3 linked regions of the Arabidopsis thaliana genome follow. The protein of the gene in region 1 interacts with the protein of each later gene in a pairwise test. Each region holds a gene or a part of one and is shown in the gene's direction. Other genes may lie near its edges.

The links. The genes of interacting proteins can lie anywhere in the genome.
Region 2: the proteins of TOPP6 (region 1) and AT1G11440 interact in a two-hybrid assay, tested with the Arabidopsis thaliana proteins (one large-scale study listed by BioGRID).
Region 3: the proteins of TOPP6 (region 1) and AT4G28230 interact in a two-hybrid assay, tested with the Arabidopsis thaliana proteins (one large-scale study listed by BioGRID).

Annotation. Positions count from the first base shown.
Region 1 is NC_003076.8:17,418,759-17,424,750, reverse strand, and holds TOPP6 (type one serine/threonine protein phosphatase 6), read left to right. Parts: upstream 1-2,768; 5' UTR 2,769-2,924; coding exon 2,925-3,099; intron 3,100-3,181; coding exon 3,182-3,741; intron 3,742-3,819; coding exon 3,820-4,041; coding exon of another isoform or gene 4,042-4,068; exon of another isoform or gene 4,069-4,415; coding exon 4,416-4,454; 3' UTR 4,455-4,806; coding exon of another isoform or gene 4,807-4,821; 3' UTR 4,822-4,961; downstream 4,962-5,992. Other genes in the region: AT5G43390 (plant/protein), read left to right, coding at 1-1,811. UniProt on the Arabidopsis thaliana protein: Serine/threonine-protein phosphatase that possesses phosphatase activity toward para-nitrophenyl phosphate (pNPP) in vitro.
Region 2 is NC_003070.9:3,847,041-3,852,202, forward strand, and holds AT1G11440 (uncharacterized protein), read left to right. Parts: upstream 1-2,160; 5' UTR 2,161-2,377; coding exon 2,378-3,469; 3' UTR 3,470-3,695; downstream 3,696-5,162. Other genes in the region: MORF9 (plastid developmental protein DAG), read left to right, coding at 233-594, 1,371-1,468, 1,566-1,631, 1,726-1,898.
Region 3 is NC_003075.7:13,994,312-13,999,558, reverse strand, and holds AT4G28230 (uncharacterized protein), read left to right. Parts: upstream 1-2,251; 5' UTR 2,252-2,360; coding exon 2,361-3,569; 3' UTR 3,570-3,780; downstream 3,781-5,247. Other genes in the region: AT4G28240 (Wound-responsive family protein), read left to right, coding at 1,320-1,580; NDB1 (NAD(P)H dehydrogenase B1), read right to left, coding at 3,908-3,995, 4,070-4,189, 4,274-4,395, 4,480-4,743, 4,836-5,160.

The DNA of each region.
Region 1 (5,992 bases):
AGATGGGTCTGACGGAAAACTTCTCGCCCACGTTTCTAACCTCCGGGAACCCATGTCTCGATTTCTTCTTCCATATCGTCCCAGACACACCTTCCGATGATCTGATCCAAAGGCTGGCCATTTCTTGGTCTCACGATCCTTTGACTACGTTGAAGCTCCTCTGCAATCTCAGAGGTGTTAGAGGAACTGGAAAATCAGACAAGGAAGGGTTTTACACAGCTGCCTTGTGGCTTTACAAGAACCACCCAAAAACTCTAGCTTTGAATATCCCTACTCTTGTCGATTTTGGGTATTTCAAAGATTTACCTGAGATTCTGCTTCGGATCTTGGAAGGTCAGCAGACGGAGAGAGGTAAGACTCGGGTTTGGAGGAAGAGGATTCAGAGGAAGTTCAAAGGGGATAGTGAGAAAAAGTCTACCATATCCGGTGACATGGAAGATCGGATTCTCGAAACCGCGGAGGAGACTGGTGGTCCTGTTGGTAAAGTCAAGGCTAGGGCTTTACGGAAACAGAGAGAGTTCGAAAAGGCGAAAAAGGCTCTAGATAGGTATAACTCTGATGCTAATTACAGATTACTCTTTGATCAAATTGCCGATTTGTTTGCGGAATTATTGAAATCAGATTTGGAGTATTTGAATACAGATAATTTGAACAAGATTAGTTTAGCTTCGAAATGGTGTCCTTCTGTTGATTCTTCGTATGATAAGACTACTTTGATATGTGAGGCTATTGCTAGAAGAATGTTCCTTAGAGAGGAATACGAAGAAGGTATCGAAGAAGTGCATTATGCATATAGGATTAGAGATAGGTTGAGAAAAGAAGTTCTTGTCCCGTTACATAAAGCTCTTGAGTTGCCAGAGGTGTCTATGAGTGCCAAGGAATGGAATCTGTTGAAGTACAATAGAGTTCCTTCTATAGCCATGCAGAATTATAGTTCACGCTTTGCGGAACACGATAGCGAGAGGTTCACCGAGTTTTTGGAGGATGTGAAATCCGGGAAGAAGAAGATGGCGGCTGGTGCGTTGCTTCCTCATCAGATTATCAGTCAGCTTTTGAATGATAGTGAAGGTGAAGAAGTAGCAGAGCTTCAATGGGCGAGAATGGTTGATGATCTTGCCAAGAAAGGGAAGTTGAAGAACTCATTGGCGATTTGTGATGTCTCGGGAAGCATGGCTGGTACACCTATGAATGTTTGTATTGCGTTAGGGTTATTGGTTTCGGAACTTAATGAAGAGCCGTGGAAAGGGAAAGTTATCACTTTTAGCGAAAACCCGCAGCTTCATGTTGTCACGGGTTCGAGTCTGAGAGAGAAGACTAAGTTTGTTAGAGAAATGGATTTTGGAATCAACACAGATTTCCAGAAGGTGTTTGATCGGATTCTAGAGGTTGCTGTCGAGAATAACTTAACCGATGAACAGATGATCAAGCGGTTGTTTGTGTTCAGTGACATGGAGTTTGATGATGCAAGAGTAGACAGCCATTCGGAAATGAGTGACTACGCGAGTAACTTGGAGAGTGACTACGAGAGTGTCCCGGAGAGTTTTGAGAAATGGGAGACGGATTATGAAGTTGTTCAGAGGAAGTATAAAGAGAAGGGTTTTCAGAATGTTCCTGAAATTGTATTTTGGAACTTAAGAGACTCGTCAGCTACACCCGTGGTGTCTAAGCAGAAAGGTGTAGCTATGGTTAGCGGGTTTTCGAAGAATCTACTGACTCTGTTTCTTGAGGAAGGTGGGATTGTGAATCCTGAAGATGTCATGTTGTTAGCCATTAAAGGTGAGGAGTATCAGAAGCTTGCTGTTTATGACTGAGAAGTTTTATTCATTTAAATATTGGATTTTGTGAGTACATGAATGAATCTTGTTTAAGTTTTTTTTTTTTTTCTAAGTACCTATGTCTAATAAGATACAGCTAAGAAAATGAAATGATCTATAGAAGTCATAAGATGAGGCATCACTCTTCGTTTCCTCCTAAACTTGGAATCTTTCCTTTATATCTTTTGGTTCTAATAGAAGAAAAAAGGCAAAAGCCAAACTAATATTCTCCGAGCTCTCTCTTTCCTTGTTATTCCTGAGGTGTCCTCTCACATCCGGTAGTTTCATAACGAATATGTTCTTTGTCATTGCCAAGTTGCTTAAGATGATGCGAACAAATCAACGAACAAGGTTTTGTGAATTACTCTGAATCCAAAAACATTGATACTGTGATGGAGAAAGAACGTTTTTTGTGCTCTACTTACACGCAAAAGTATCTTGAATTCGATTAGATTCAAGCCTAAAAAGCTCAACACAAAGAAAGTGTCTAAACTAGCTAATATGTTTTGACCATAAAAGAGAAAATATAGCTAACATTTTTGGTTATTAGATGTAGTTGAAGTTAGAACAATTAGGGTAGGTTTTTACCCATGGCTTTTGGCTACAAAGGAAGAAGAATATGTTTTTTGTAAATAGCCAAGTTGCTTAATATGACGCGGACGAATCCAAAAACATCGATACTAGAAGAAGAAGAAAGAGCGTTTTTCGCACTCAAAGTACCGGCGGAAAGATCTTAAATTTGAATCATGACGTACCGGACAGGATTCAATCCTGTGAAGCTTAACACACACACAAACAATGTGTTACTAAATTAGCTAGAATCTGATTATTATATGATTTAGTTGAAGTTAGAACAATGTAGGTAGGTATGAACACATGTGACTTTTGCTAAAAAGGTATGAAGAATATATTCTTAAACGCGGCTTTATAAAGCCCTTCTTGAATTTGACAATCACCATTCTTTTTCTCAAAGAGCAAGCATAAAAGAACATAAAAGCTCCATACTTTTTAAATTTATTCCATATTGTCAATAGCTTTTGTATATTATAAAGCTTCTAGGCGTTGTTGTTGTTTTGTCTCATTGTTGCTCTGTTTCTTGAGGTTTTATAAATGGATCCTGGTACTTTAAACTCGGTGATCAATAGGTTGCTTGAAGCTAGAGAAAAACCAGGAAAGATTGTTCAGTTGTCTGAAACAGAGATCAAACAGCTCTGTTTCGTCTCTAGAGATATCTTCTTGAGACAACCAAATCTCTTGGAACTTGAAGCTCCTGTTAAAATATGTGGTACGTTTCTCTCTGTTTCTCTCTGACTCTTTTCTGAGATTGTGCTCCTATGTAATCTTTTGGTTAAACAAATAATAAACAGGGGACATTCATGGACAATATCCGGATCTCTTGAGACTATTCGAACATGGCGGATACCCTCCTAATTCAAACTACTTGTTTCTTGGAGATTATGTCGATCGCGGCAAGCAAAGCCTCGAAACGATTTGTCTTTTACTTGCTTACAAGATTAAGTTCCCTGAAAACTTCTTCCTTCTCAGAGGAAACCATGAAAGTGCATCAATCAATCGTATTTACGGCTTCTATGACGAGTGTAAACGTAGATTCAGTGTCAAGATTTGGCGAATCTTCACTGATTGCTTCAACTGTCTCCCCGTCGCTGCACTCATCGATGAGCGGATTTTTTGTATGCATGGTGGGCTCTCCCCGGAGCTGCTAAGCTTGAGGCAGATTAGGGATATTCGTCGTCCAACGGATATTCCTGATCGTGGTTTACTCTGTGATCTCTTGTGGTCTGATCCTGATAAAGATGTTAGAGGTTGGGGGCCTAACGATCGCGGAGTTTCTTACACTTTTGGATCAGATATAGTTTCTGGATTTCTTAAAAGACTCGATCTTGACCTCATTTGTAGGGCTCACCAGGTTTGTTTATTGTTCCTTGTGCCCAAAGAAACATTTTTAACGTGTTTCCTTTTGACACAAGCAACGATTTTGTAACAGGTTGTTGAAGATGGATTCGAGTTCTTTGCGAATAAGCAGCTCGTAACGATATTCTCTGCGCCGAATTACTGTGGGGAATTTGACAATGCAGGTGCGATGATGAGTGTGTCTGAGGATTTGACCTGCTCTTTTCAGATCTTAAAATCTAATGACAAGAAATCAAAGTTCAGTTTCGGAAGCAGAGGTGGTGCTAAAACTAGCTTCCCTTATCCTAAAGTGAAGGTATGTATTAATCACATCACTTTTTAATTTGTGGATATACTGTAGCACAAAAAATGAAATATGGTAAATGCATAATAATTTGCTCTATTACTAAATGTTTTTGAATGATTTAACATTTTGAATCTGTTTGTGCTCCTCAATAATTTTAAATCTATTCGCATTGATAGATGAAACTTTGGATTAGTATTGACTTCACCGAATTAGACCTAATGTTAGTCAAAACTAACACTGTGGTATACTTGAAAATTGGTTTGCTATGTTTCTCACTAGTAACTTACAAGTAATTTATAGCCAAATCATTGTTGTCATGTCATGTTACAAGGCAAGCTCGGAATCTCTAACCATTTGATCTAATTAAACATGTTTATTTGCAGTCGATTCTGAGTTCGCAAAATTCGAAAGAATACAACTGATGAAGATTTAAAACTCCGCATAATAACTATTAGAAACCATGCCAACGTAACTCGACTACTATATGATGAGAAATTAAAGAGGATTTTGAATTTCGGAATTTTGGGAAGCTTCTGTTTTTGTTATGTTTTGTGTTGTCTGCTGCTATCACTTGTGTGTATGTGTTTTTATTTTTGGTTGTTGTTGTTGTAAATTTGGTTTGTAGTTGTTGGTGGTTAAATTTGATAATAAAACATGATTTCCTTCGGACCAAAGATATGTTTTTTTCTTTCCGGTTTGCATCTTCTTAAGTTGAAGGCACTTTTTGGCTAGCTAACTCTTGTGTCGATTGTGTGGCCAACAAGGCTTCTGCAGGATTGTAATTGGTAGAATGGATCCGGATATCCTAGAATTTGAAAAGTATTCAGAACTGTGCTTTAACAATCCAGATCCGTGACTTTTGGATATCTGGTTTCTAATATTGCAGATACCTAGAAAACTAATACTTATATATCTTGTTTTAATACATAATCATAATTGAATCAATTTAACTTGACATATCATTATAATATTGCTAGTGTTAACAAAATATTAAAATGATGACTTACCCATGTTGTACCACCGAGTTAATGATATTTAAATTTATATTAATGAAGATTCAAACTCGTCAAACCATATAACCCATACCGTGATATTTTAAACTTTTTATAAGTTAAACGTTGATAATATTTTGAAGTTTTTATACACTTTAAATAGATCAATTATAATATTTTAATTTTTTAAAAAGTTTAGAATTTATGATATCTGGTATAATTAAACGGTTTGACTAAAGAACCGAATTAAACTGAACAAATATTTAAATTTGGATGTTTGTTAAGTTAGGATTCCTACTCACTCATATTTCTTTGGGTTCAATTTGGTCTTATTTATGAGATTTTGGACACAAAGTTTTAGCTGATGTGAGACTTTGAACACAAATAATTTTATTTCATTATGTGAGTAATATATGGCTGTTTTCAAACATCCGAATCACAATATATCCAGAAAAAATTAGATTTTAATTAGTGTTATGTATTATATGATGATTCAAAGTAGTTTAAAAAATAAAAAAAATGATAGAAAAATCATAATTTTAAATGTTAACAAAATATTTAAAATATGTATATTATTAAATGTGAAACATTATATGGATGTTTTTAATTTATCTTTAATGTGAAAATATTATAATTGTGTTTTGGTTATATGAATACTAGAGAATTAATTGTAACACTATAGACCCATCGCTTTCCAACCCCCTCTTGCATAAGGGACATGGTCAAATCTTGATATTAATTTGTGACTCAATTTATGAATTAATGGTCATGGTAAAATGAGTAAATTAACTTGTCATTCAAGTTTATGAACTGATTAGGAGAATTATTATGATTATGCGAATTATTATTTGTGTTAGTTCCGACGAAATCAATGATCAGAAATTTGTTGGAAACAAACATTTTAGACGCATTCATTGGTCGGAAATAGTTGGTTTTGTTAAATACTCAGTTTGGTTTTTGGACATACA
Region 2 (5,162 bases), on another chromosome or scaffold:
TTCACGATACACATCGGGGAAAGTGTGTTTTCTTTTTTTCTTTCCCAATTTACTTTTCTTTTTTTTTGGCGCTTGAAATTATGAGAAAATGATTTAAGAAATTATCAGGCCCAAACTATCTAATGGGCCTAATTAAAAACGGTGTCGTTTCATAGGATCCTCATCACGAAGCAGGTAAGTAAAAATATATCTTATCTTCTCCAAAACTCTCTCTTCGATTTCAGCAATTGCAATGGCTTCCTTCACAACAACTTCTTCTTCCTCGCTTCTCCTCAAAACTCTTCTCCCCGTAAGCCACCTGAATCGTTTCTCTACACTCTCTGGTATCCGCGTTGGCGATTCATGGACTCCTCTGCTCCGGAACATCTCCACCGCTGGGTCTCGGCGTCGAGTGGCGATTGTGAAAGCTGCGACGGTGGATTCGGATTACTCGTCGAAACGGAGCAATAGCAATGAGCAGAGAGAGACGATTATGCTTCCTGGTTGCGATTACAATCATTGGCTCATTGTAATGGAGTTTCCTAAAGATCCAGCGCCAAGTAGGGATCAGATGATTGATACTTACCTTAACACTCTTGCTACTGTTCTTGGCAGGTTCGTTTTCGCTTTCTTATTGATTCTCTTCGTTGTTGAATTAGTTAACTAATAGACGACATTTACTTGTGTTGCTAATGGACTTGTCCTTTGATTGAATCCAATGTTGCGTATAGGAAGATTTGGTTTTTTGTTAGATTAGGGTTTTTGATGATACTTTAGGGTAAGGGTTTAGTGAGCTGAGTAAAGCTTTCAGCTTTAAATTTGCTCTGAAGTTGACCTAGTTCCAGAATTTGTTCTTAATATCAGGTGTAATCTTTAGCTGACTTGTTTTTCGTCTCTTGATATGTGCAAACTTATTGAACATTGCTGCATATTGAACACAAAACATTGGTGTCTGATTTGATATCTAAAACTTTGTGCTCTTTAGCGTAATTATGAATGAAATTAGGGGGAAGAATAGAAGCATCTATTTTTGCATATTTTCTTCAAGCTATGTATAAATTGTAGGTGATTGTGCATGGTTTCTGTTTGTTAAAAACTTGATGTGGACAGTGTAAGCTAGTAATGTATGTAAAAGGAGTGTACAATTGTGCAGAGCATTAGATTGGGACTCCTGACTAGAAATTTCTTGGTATGGCAGGGAACGAGTTTGTGTTACACAACTAATGACTAAAACTTTAGTTTATTTGGTGCTACTCTCTATTTTAGAGAACTTTGATTCCGGTTTACACTATCCTGCTGATGTGATAACCAATTAATGTACTTGTGTCCATTTTCCAGCATAACCAGTTCATCGTGTTTGCTTATTATATGTACTTGTGTCTATTTTCCAGCATGGAAGAGGCGAAGAAGAACATGTATGCATTCAGTACCACGACATATACTGGATTCCAATGCACCATCGACGAAGAAACATCTGAGAAGTTCAAGGGTTAGTTAGTGAGCAAGAAGAGCCTTAGTCCCCTTATTGAAAGTTCGTCGAAAACCTTCAAGATACTGATCGTTCTGTCTTTTCATTATTTTCACAGGTTTGCCTGGAGTTCTCTGGGTCTTGCCTGACTCCTACATAGATGTCAAGAACAAAGACTATGGAGGTAACCCATCAAAGCCTGATTTTAAACTTTCTAGGATCTCTCTCTCTCCCAGTATCCATGTTCTGATAATTGAATCGTTCTTTCTCGGGTTTAGGCGACAAGTACATCAATGGAGAGATTATCCCGTGCACATACCCAACATACCAACCAAAGCAGCGCAATAACACTAAGTATCAAAGTAAGAGATACGAAAGAAAAAGAGACGGTCCTCCACCTCCTGAACAGAGGAAACCAAGACAAGAACCAGCAGCCTCTGATTCCTCTTAAACTATAATAAGATAATGGAGTGTTTGCAAGTTTTGATCTTTTGGTTAGCACTTAGCTTGTTGAAGTCGTGTGTAAAATCGTCTAGTACCAAATGATGATACTGTATCATCACACCTTGAACAATAGCTATTGTTATGTTAGGATGAAATTCAACTTGAACCATTTGTTTATTTAGGTAATGTTCGGTTTTGGTTTGGTTTGATTCTTTGTCAACCACTGCTTTTTCCCCACGTTTTCTCAACACCAATTTCAGACAAGACAAAACAATTGTAGGGTCACACACTCGTCACCAACTCACCATCTACATCAGTCGTCCCTACCTTATCAACACATCACATGGAAATAATACACTACTCTCTCACGGACTTGGAACCAAACATTCCAAATTAGTTTAATCGACAGATCACTGCTCAGCTGAATCGTTTTCTCTCATCAACCGCAGAGAAAGACTTTCAAGATCATCCTTCAAGCTCTCTCAAATGGCCAACTTCTATGAGAATTACCAGAGTCCTTACGATTACAATCAGGTTAATAATCTCTACGATCAAAATCATTATCATTACAATCAACAGCAGCAGCAGCTTGGTTTCGAACCAATGAGTTATAATTATTACAACTGGAATGAATCTGAATCTGAATCTGAATATGTTGCTTACTCTGGTTATGATGATCCAATGAGTTATAATTGTTATAACTGGAATGGATCCGAGTCTGAGACAACCTCTGCATATGTTGCTTACTCTGTTTCTACCATGTCTGAGCCTAAACACTTGTTCTATGATCCGAATCTCTATACAACCTACGAATCTCCTCCTCAGTTTAGTATCTATTGCTCTGTAGCCTCTGCTCTTGACTTCAACGAGCCGGAATTCGATGAATACGATCCCACGCCGTACGGTGGTGGCTACGATGTTGTTGCAACCTATGGAAAACCTCTTCCTCCATCGGTGGAAACTTGTTACCCTTGTTCAACCGCTCCTCACGCTAAAGCTCCCTCTCCTCCTGAGATTATTGCTCCTGTTCCTCTTGGAATTTATGATGGTGGTCAAAAGAATGTTGTCAAGAAACGTGTGTCTTTTGCTGAACCGGTAGAAGAAGTCAAACCAATAGAAACCATTAAAGAGCAAGAACAAGAACAAGACGAAGATTATGATGAAGAAAGTGAGGACGAAGATGATGGTGATGATGATGATGAAGAAGAAGAAGAAGGGGATGAGGAAGCTAAAGAAGAAGAAAAAGATCACAGTTCAAGCTATGGAAATGAGGAATATGAAGTCGTAGATAAAGGAGAAGTGAAAGCTTTGTATGTTCCGTCTGGTTACGGATTAGAAGCGACCGATCTCTGTGAGGTTATATTTGGAGGTTACTTTCCTTGTGTGTTACGTAACAAAAGACGTCAGGAAGATGAACAAGATCGTGGGGCTGCTGTTTCTTGCTGGGAAAGCAACGATTCTGATCCGTGGAAGACAACTTCCGATCACCTTTTCGGGGATTCATATCCGTACGGTTACGAGAATCGGAGCGAAAGAAATCAGTTCGAGGTCTCCTCTTATGGTTACCGGATGTATTAACAACCCTAGTTATCATCAGTTGTGTCAATGTGAGGTAAGAACAACATTCTTTTGATTATTGATGAACCTGATTTTTTAGTATCTGTTACACAAGAGATGAGATTTACTGTTGTATAACGAGGAGGGGTTACTTAATAATAAAACGTCGCACGCAAAATCTATCTTCAACCTTTCTATTTGTAACATTCTCTTTAACACGTTTGTTTAAAATCTAAAATCTTTAAATACTACACTCGATGTGATAATTGATTACTGTATCCATCGTAATTATTATTGGTATATATACATTTCTTTGTGAAAAACACCAAATAAATGAAAGAATTGTATCATGGTATATCTAATATCTATCACTGTGAGTACAAGTGCAGAAGAAATTGTAGAAGTAGAAAAGTCAACGATAAAGATGAATTAGCTGAAGTTGAAGAACACTCTAATAAGTAATAACAAACAATGAACACCATGGGGGTTCTTGATTATCTTAAATGAAAATTAGTACCCGATTCAAAAGAATATCATTTTTTTGTGTTTTTGGAAACTCTTTTGAGACGTTAACATGTTGACTAATAAATTATGTGTAAATATACTTTTTTGCAGAAATTATTTTTGTGGATGTATAACTTGTTTACCTGAGCATGTAAGTATATGGAATTTTCAAAACTGTACTACGTATAGACAATATGCAAATACAGAAAACAAAACAAAATACCGTATTTACACGCGATATTAATAAGGTTCAATGACATGCTACTTCTTAACTAAAACAAAATTTAAAATGATTGATGAAAGCTTTACATGTGCGTCATGGAGGCTTAACTTTGTTTTGAGACGTCTACTTCTTTTTTTTTATTCTTATCCCTTTCCAATTTAGTTATATGTAGTATAATCAGATTAATTCACCATATATAAAACCCTTTTTCAAAAAAAAATAAAAAAAATTATAAAAGTATAATAATTATTGAGCTGTTGGTTATACTGTTTTAATTTCATCGAATACTTTCTCTGTTTTGTTTTAAATGATGATCCAGAGAATTTTGTTTATCTTATTTCAAGTGATGTTTTCAAAAGTTTAAATATATTTGATTGTAACCATTTATATAATAGAATATGTTTTTTACTAGTTGAATTAGTTTTATTTTAACAATTTATATATATAAAATAAACAAAATATTTTTTTTATTATTTCTTAATTTATGTGAAAAACTTTAGATATGATTTAATATGAAAAGATAGAATATATTATATACCAATCTTGTAAATTTATTCTAGAACTAAGTCAAAACCACTAACTTTTCTTTTGTGACAACTTTTTTATAAAAAAAATTTAACATCATTAGAACCACTAACTCAATTGTTATTATATTTGGTGAATTGATCTAATTAGTAGAAGGAATATATATGTCTGCACTACTGGAGAGAAAATGCCCCGTCCATTATGTTCTAAGCCTTTTCTAGATAACTTACTGAATCTAAAAATAGCATCTGCTTTTTGTCCCTACAAAGTTATATGGACAAACTAAAGGAATGAAAGAGTTCGATATACCCAAATGGGGATAATATAATTTTTTCATCAACTTTAAAAGTTCAAATATAGAGCTAATTATACGCATTTATAATTAACAAAAACGAGATAGTGCAAAACAAGATGGATCCAATGAAAAGACAAAAGAGAATAATTAATGGATCGAATATAATT
Region 3 (5,247 bases), on another chromosome or scaffold:
CAAGAGACACCAAATCCACTCAAGTCTAGTCATACAGAGAATCACCTGGAAAAAAAAGCAAGTGAAGTCAAAGGAATGTGATTCCGCGTAGCTATGATCTGATCAACATGCATTTTCTTTTCTCAAGGTGCAATGGCGTTTTAACTTGACCATCAAACATTGAGATATACAGTCTATACAAGTTAATAGTCATGGTTATTATAGTATTATCTGACGGATTCAAATTTGACATATAAGAATCGGGGAAAAGAAAATGTAGAACTGGTTATAGCCAAATGCAAGAAGATATGTGATGCAATAAGATAGTTTGACATGAGCATAAATGTGATAGACATATGCTTAGATTAGTAGAAGAAGCAGACAGGGCTTATCTAGTATAAGTGGGATAAGCATAATATGTGAACGGCCCACATCCTCACAAAGCCAAGTCCAACTATCACAAGATTCACTCATTCCACTAATAAACGTTTTCAAATTAGAATGACAGAAGAATATGATAGTTAAAACTACTCATTAATATATTGGTGATAAAATAAAATAAAATAAAATAAAATTAAACTACTCACATATAATTGGTTGGATTAGTCATTAAAGATAGCACTTAGCAAATCAAAGTAAAAACAAATACTCACTACTAATAATAAATTAACCGGAAGCAAAGGGACAAGAAGTATTGATGGACAGTAATATCACGTGAAGGGGCACGTGATGACCCAATAATCGGTTAACACGTAACCAATCCCCTCGTGGGACTCTATCCTAGTCTCTAGGCACCACCCCACCCCTCACATAAAACCATCGTTCCATTTTGGTTTTAGGCCGACCTATCGGTTTTTCATTTTCGTATAAAACAAAACAAAACAAAACAAATTTACATTCAACAAAAAAAAAAAAAAAAAAAAACCAAATTACAAAAATAATTAAGAATGGGGCCCACATGAAGGGGTCGATAATTGAAGCAAGGGTGACTCATCTTGAGGATAGGACCCTCTAAGCTCGCCACTTGTTTCCTCATTACTCAGCACTTTCAATTTCCCCCGAGATATTTCACGATAACTTAACCATATCGTACCGTATCGCTTTCCTATACCTGGATCCCACTAATCCATTGTGCACGGTATCGCTTATTTTAGATCTTTTTGAATTTACCTATTTACCCTCACCCCAATATCCCTCTGGCTATAAGTACCAACCTCATCTCTTCATTTCCTTCCTACAAAAATCGAACTAATCTTCCTTTTTAACAAAAGCTTCTCAAATCTTTCAAAGGTTTCCAATTTACGAAGAAAGGATCTACAACATATAATCACTATTAAAGAATGAGTTATCTGAACAAAGTGTGGATGGCAGCATCGTTCGTAGCTGTTCAAGGAAACGCCGATCACGGCGTCAAGTTAAAAAGCGGTCTCACCTCTGCTCACCGTCTCCAACGAAGACTTTCCTCCGATCTCCGTCCTCTCGCCGCCGCAGATCTAACCGGCGACTCTCTCCCTTCGGAAGAAAGACGTCGTACCTCTTCTTCCACTCCCGATGAGTCTCTCCGACAAGTCATGTACCTCAACTGCTGGGCTCAAGGCTAAATTCAGATAATGATGGTCGTGGCTCGCTCATGAACTCCGCTGAATCAGAATTTTTTTCTGATGCAAACTGTATATAGTTTGGTTCATCTGTGGTGGTTGACTCGTGCTTATGAAATCGCTTGAGTCGGATTTTCTGGATGCAACTGTATAGTTTGGTTACATCTCTGTGAATATTAGAATGTTCTAAAAGATCAAAGCAAGCCTTGGATTATGAGAGAACTCTGTTCATTTTCTATATCTTAAAACATCGTTCGCTCACCAACTTTATTACAATCTGGAATCTTGATTGCGATTACCACTAATTTCAACTTTATCCACAGTAAAATACGATTCTAAATTAAACAATAGTACTAAAATATTCCAAAACCATCGTTATCCAAAGAGACAGACAAGTCAGTCACTCCATAATGCTTTTATTTATTTATCTATTGTGGTTGTCATTATTGAGGTAGGTCCTATAATTCATCTTACGAGCAAACTGAAATGTTATATTCGTCGGGCCAATTGTGCGAGGAACAAGAGGCCCACAACGAGATCAGCTCTTGGGCTATTTGGCCCATTTATGTAACTTGGCTTTGAATGAAATCGGAGCGTGGCTGCTTAATCCAACGGTCCAAATCTGACGACGCTCCTTAATGGAGTAATGAGTAACGTCTCCTTCATTTCCAACGGTCAAATAATCCTCAAGAAATACTCGCTTCTTCCTTCTTCCTCCTCAAGTGTCCAATTCTTTCTCCAAACCCTAAATTTCTCGTAGAAGAAGATCAAATCGCTCTGAATATGACATCAATTGAGGCAACAGAAACGCTTAACGCTCCTCCAAAGCTTCAGATCTGGAACAACGCTGCCTTCGACGATGGAGATTCTCAAATCACTTCCGCCATCGAAGCTTCTTCTTGGTCTCACCTCAACGAATCATTCGATTCCGATTGTAGCAAGGAGAATCAGTTTCCGATTTCGGTTTCCTCTTCGCTCCAATCCTCAGTCTCGATCACCGAAGCTCCGTCAGCAAAATCCAAGACCGTGAAGACCAAATCCGCCGCAGATCGGAGTAAAAAGCGAGATATCGATGCAGAGATCGAAGAAGTAGAGAAGGAGATCGGACGATTATCGACGAAATTGGAGTCGCTCCGATTAGAGAAGGCGGAGCAAACCGCAAGAAGCATTGCTATACGTGGAAGAATCGTTCCGGCGAAGTTCATGGAATCATCTCAGAAACAAGTGAAATTCGACGATTCGTGTTTTACAGGATCGAAATCAAGAGCCACTCGTAGAGGCGTTAGTCTTGGACCAGCGGAGATATTCAATTCCGCGAAGAAATCTGAAACTGTGACTCCTCTTCAATCAGCTCAGAATCGACGCAAGTCTTGTTTCTTTAAGCTTCCTGGAATCGAAGAAGGTCAAGTGACGACACGAGGTAAAGGAAGAACGAGTTTGAGTCTGAGTCCGAGATCTCGCAAAGCGAAAATGACGGCAGCTCAGAAGCAAGCAGCTACGACGGTGGGGTCAAAGAGAGCTGTGAAGAAAGAAGAAGGAGTTCTCTTAACAATCCAGCCTAAGAGGCTATTCAAAGAAGATGAAAAGAATGTTTCTTTAAGGAAACCATTGAAACCAGGAAGAGTTGTGGCTAGTAGGTACAGTCAAATGGGTAAAACGCAGACTGGAGAGAAAGATGTTAGGAAAAGGTCGTTGCCTGAGGATGAAGAGAAAGAGAATCATAAGAGGTCGGAGAAGAGAAGAGCTTCTGATGAAAGTAACAAGAGTGAAGGGAGAGTGAAGAAGAGATGGGAGATTCCAAGTGAAGTTGATCTGTATAGCAGTGGTGAGAACGGTGACGAGTCTCCTATAGTTAAGGAGCTACCTAAGATCAGAACGCTTCGTCGTGTGGGAGGGAGCCCTCGTGATTCAGGTGCTGCTAAGAGAGTTGCAGAATTACAAGCCAAGGATCGTAACTTCACTTTTTGCCAGCTTCTGAAGTTTGAAGAATGAATGATCCGCTTATCAATTTGAGTAAAATCCACAACTCTTGTTGTGGTTACTTGATTGTGAATTTGTTTGGTTTTGATTTTGTTTTTCGGCTCGCAGAGCAAGAATCTTTGTTGGAATGCTTAATGTCTTTTCTAAATACACATTAAGATTGTGAGTTTTTGTTATCTTTTGTAAATGTCAGCTTCATGAAGAAAGATTCTTTCAAAAGGTTTTTGCTTTGCCACTCACAAACAAGAAGTTTGGCCACAGCTTTGTGAAATTTACACCAAAAACAAACGAAAAAGAGAGAGACTGTATCTTGGTTTCCTCTTAAACACATTACAAAATGCAGTATTGAGTCAGATGCGGCTTGAATCCCTCCCGAATATGTACCTCCTTGTCCAGTCCGACACCACCAGAGCCCTCGTTCGCCAGCTAACTTGCTTGCTGCATCATTCATGTTTCATGTTTCAAATTCTGTGCATTTACTATAATGAATAAAAGAGTTTCTCAGCGTTTACCTGGCATAAACAGAATACCAGAGCCACTGGGCGCTTTTTCCAGCTGAAACCCAGTCTCCAGGTAGTTCAGCTGCTGCTTGGTCCCCTCCTAGTGGAGCAAATTGTCCAAAGTGCTTGTACCTGTAATCAAGCGAAGAGCTTTCATCTCTATATCTTGGAAGTTTATGAGGATGCAAGGTCCTGAGTTCATTAGATTAGGCATACTGGAAGGGGCGAAACTGATGATGCCCGCCAGTTCTGAAGCGCTTAGGACCTTCAGGTAGCTCTTTACACTGCTCCATCCTGTTGAAGCATTTTGCAAGATAAGCACCTTGCTGGGCAGCGACCTATGCAAACAAACAAGCAGACCATTGACCCTGACATCCTAGATAAAACCCACGATTCTACGCATAGGTGAATTCACCAAGTACCTGAGCAGTTGCAGGCAGGGTTTTCATCTGTGAATCAGCCTCCGAGAGAGCCAATTTGAATGCCTCAATGTCTACTTCTTTCCTTGCATTTCCTTCAGAATCTGCCAGCAGATCGTTAATATGCCTCATATGCTTGCTTTTCAGGTAGAGCTCCACCTGCGGATACCTCACAATAATATCATCAACCACGCCTTCTAACTCTTCCATGGTCAAGGTTCCTGAGTTGTCCGCATCTGCAGCTTTGAATATGTTTGCAATATCCCCCTAAATTAAGATTCACAAGAATCTATCAAGATTTAGCATGCATATGAAAAAAAGAAGGGAATAGCATCAACAGTCTAATGGGGTTCACAGACCAAGATTTTTCGTTGAGCTATGGAAGCACAATCGCCAACTGCATATACATTCTCACATCCTGTCACTTGTAACCACTCGTTAGTTGCCACCGCACGTCTGCCTCCTTGGCCAACTTGCTCCATGAAGTCGCTGATAACTGGACGGGTTCCAACTCCAGTGGACCACAATATCAATCCATGAGGAATACTTACGAGTTCTCCACTTGATTTGACTTTCACTGTGATATCTTTATCAGTCACAGACATTACACGCATTCCAGTCTGAACATCAATACCATCTCGCGTGAACTTTTGTTCAGCAAATGAACTGATACGTTCATCAAACCTGCAACAACCAGTCAACCACTTGTCAAACTCCACAATCAAGCCTGGCATGAAGAAATGATGAAGAAGTCTATAGTACTGTTGATTA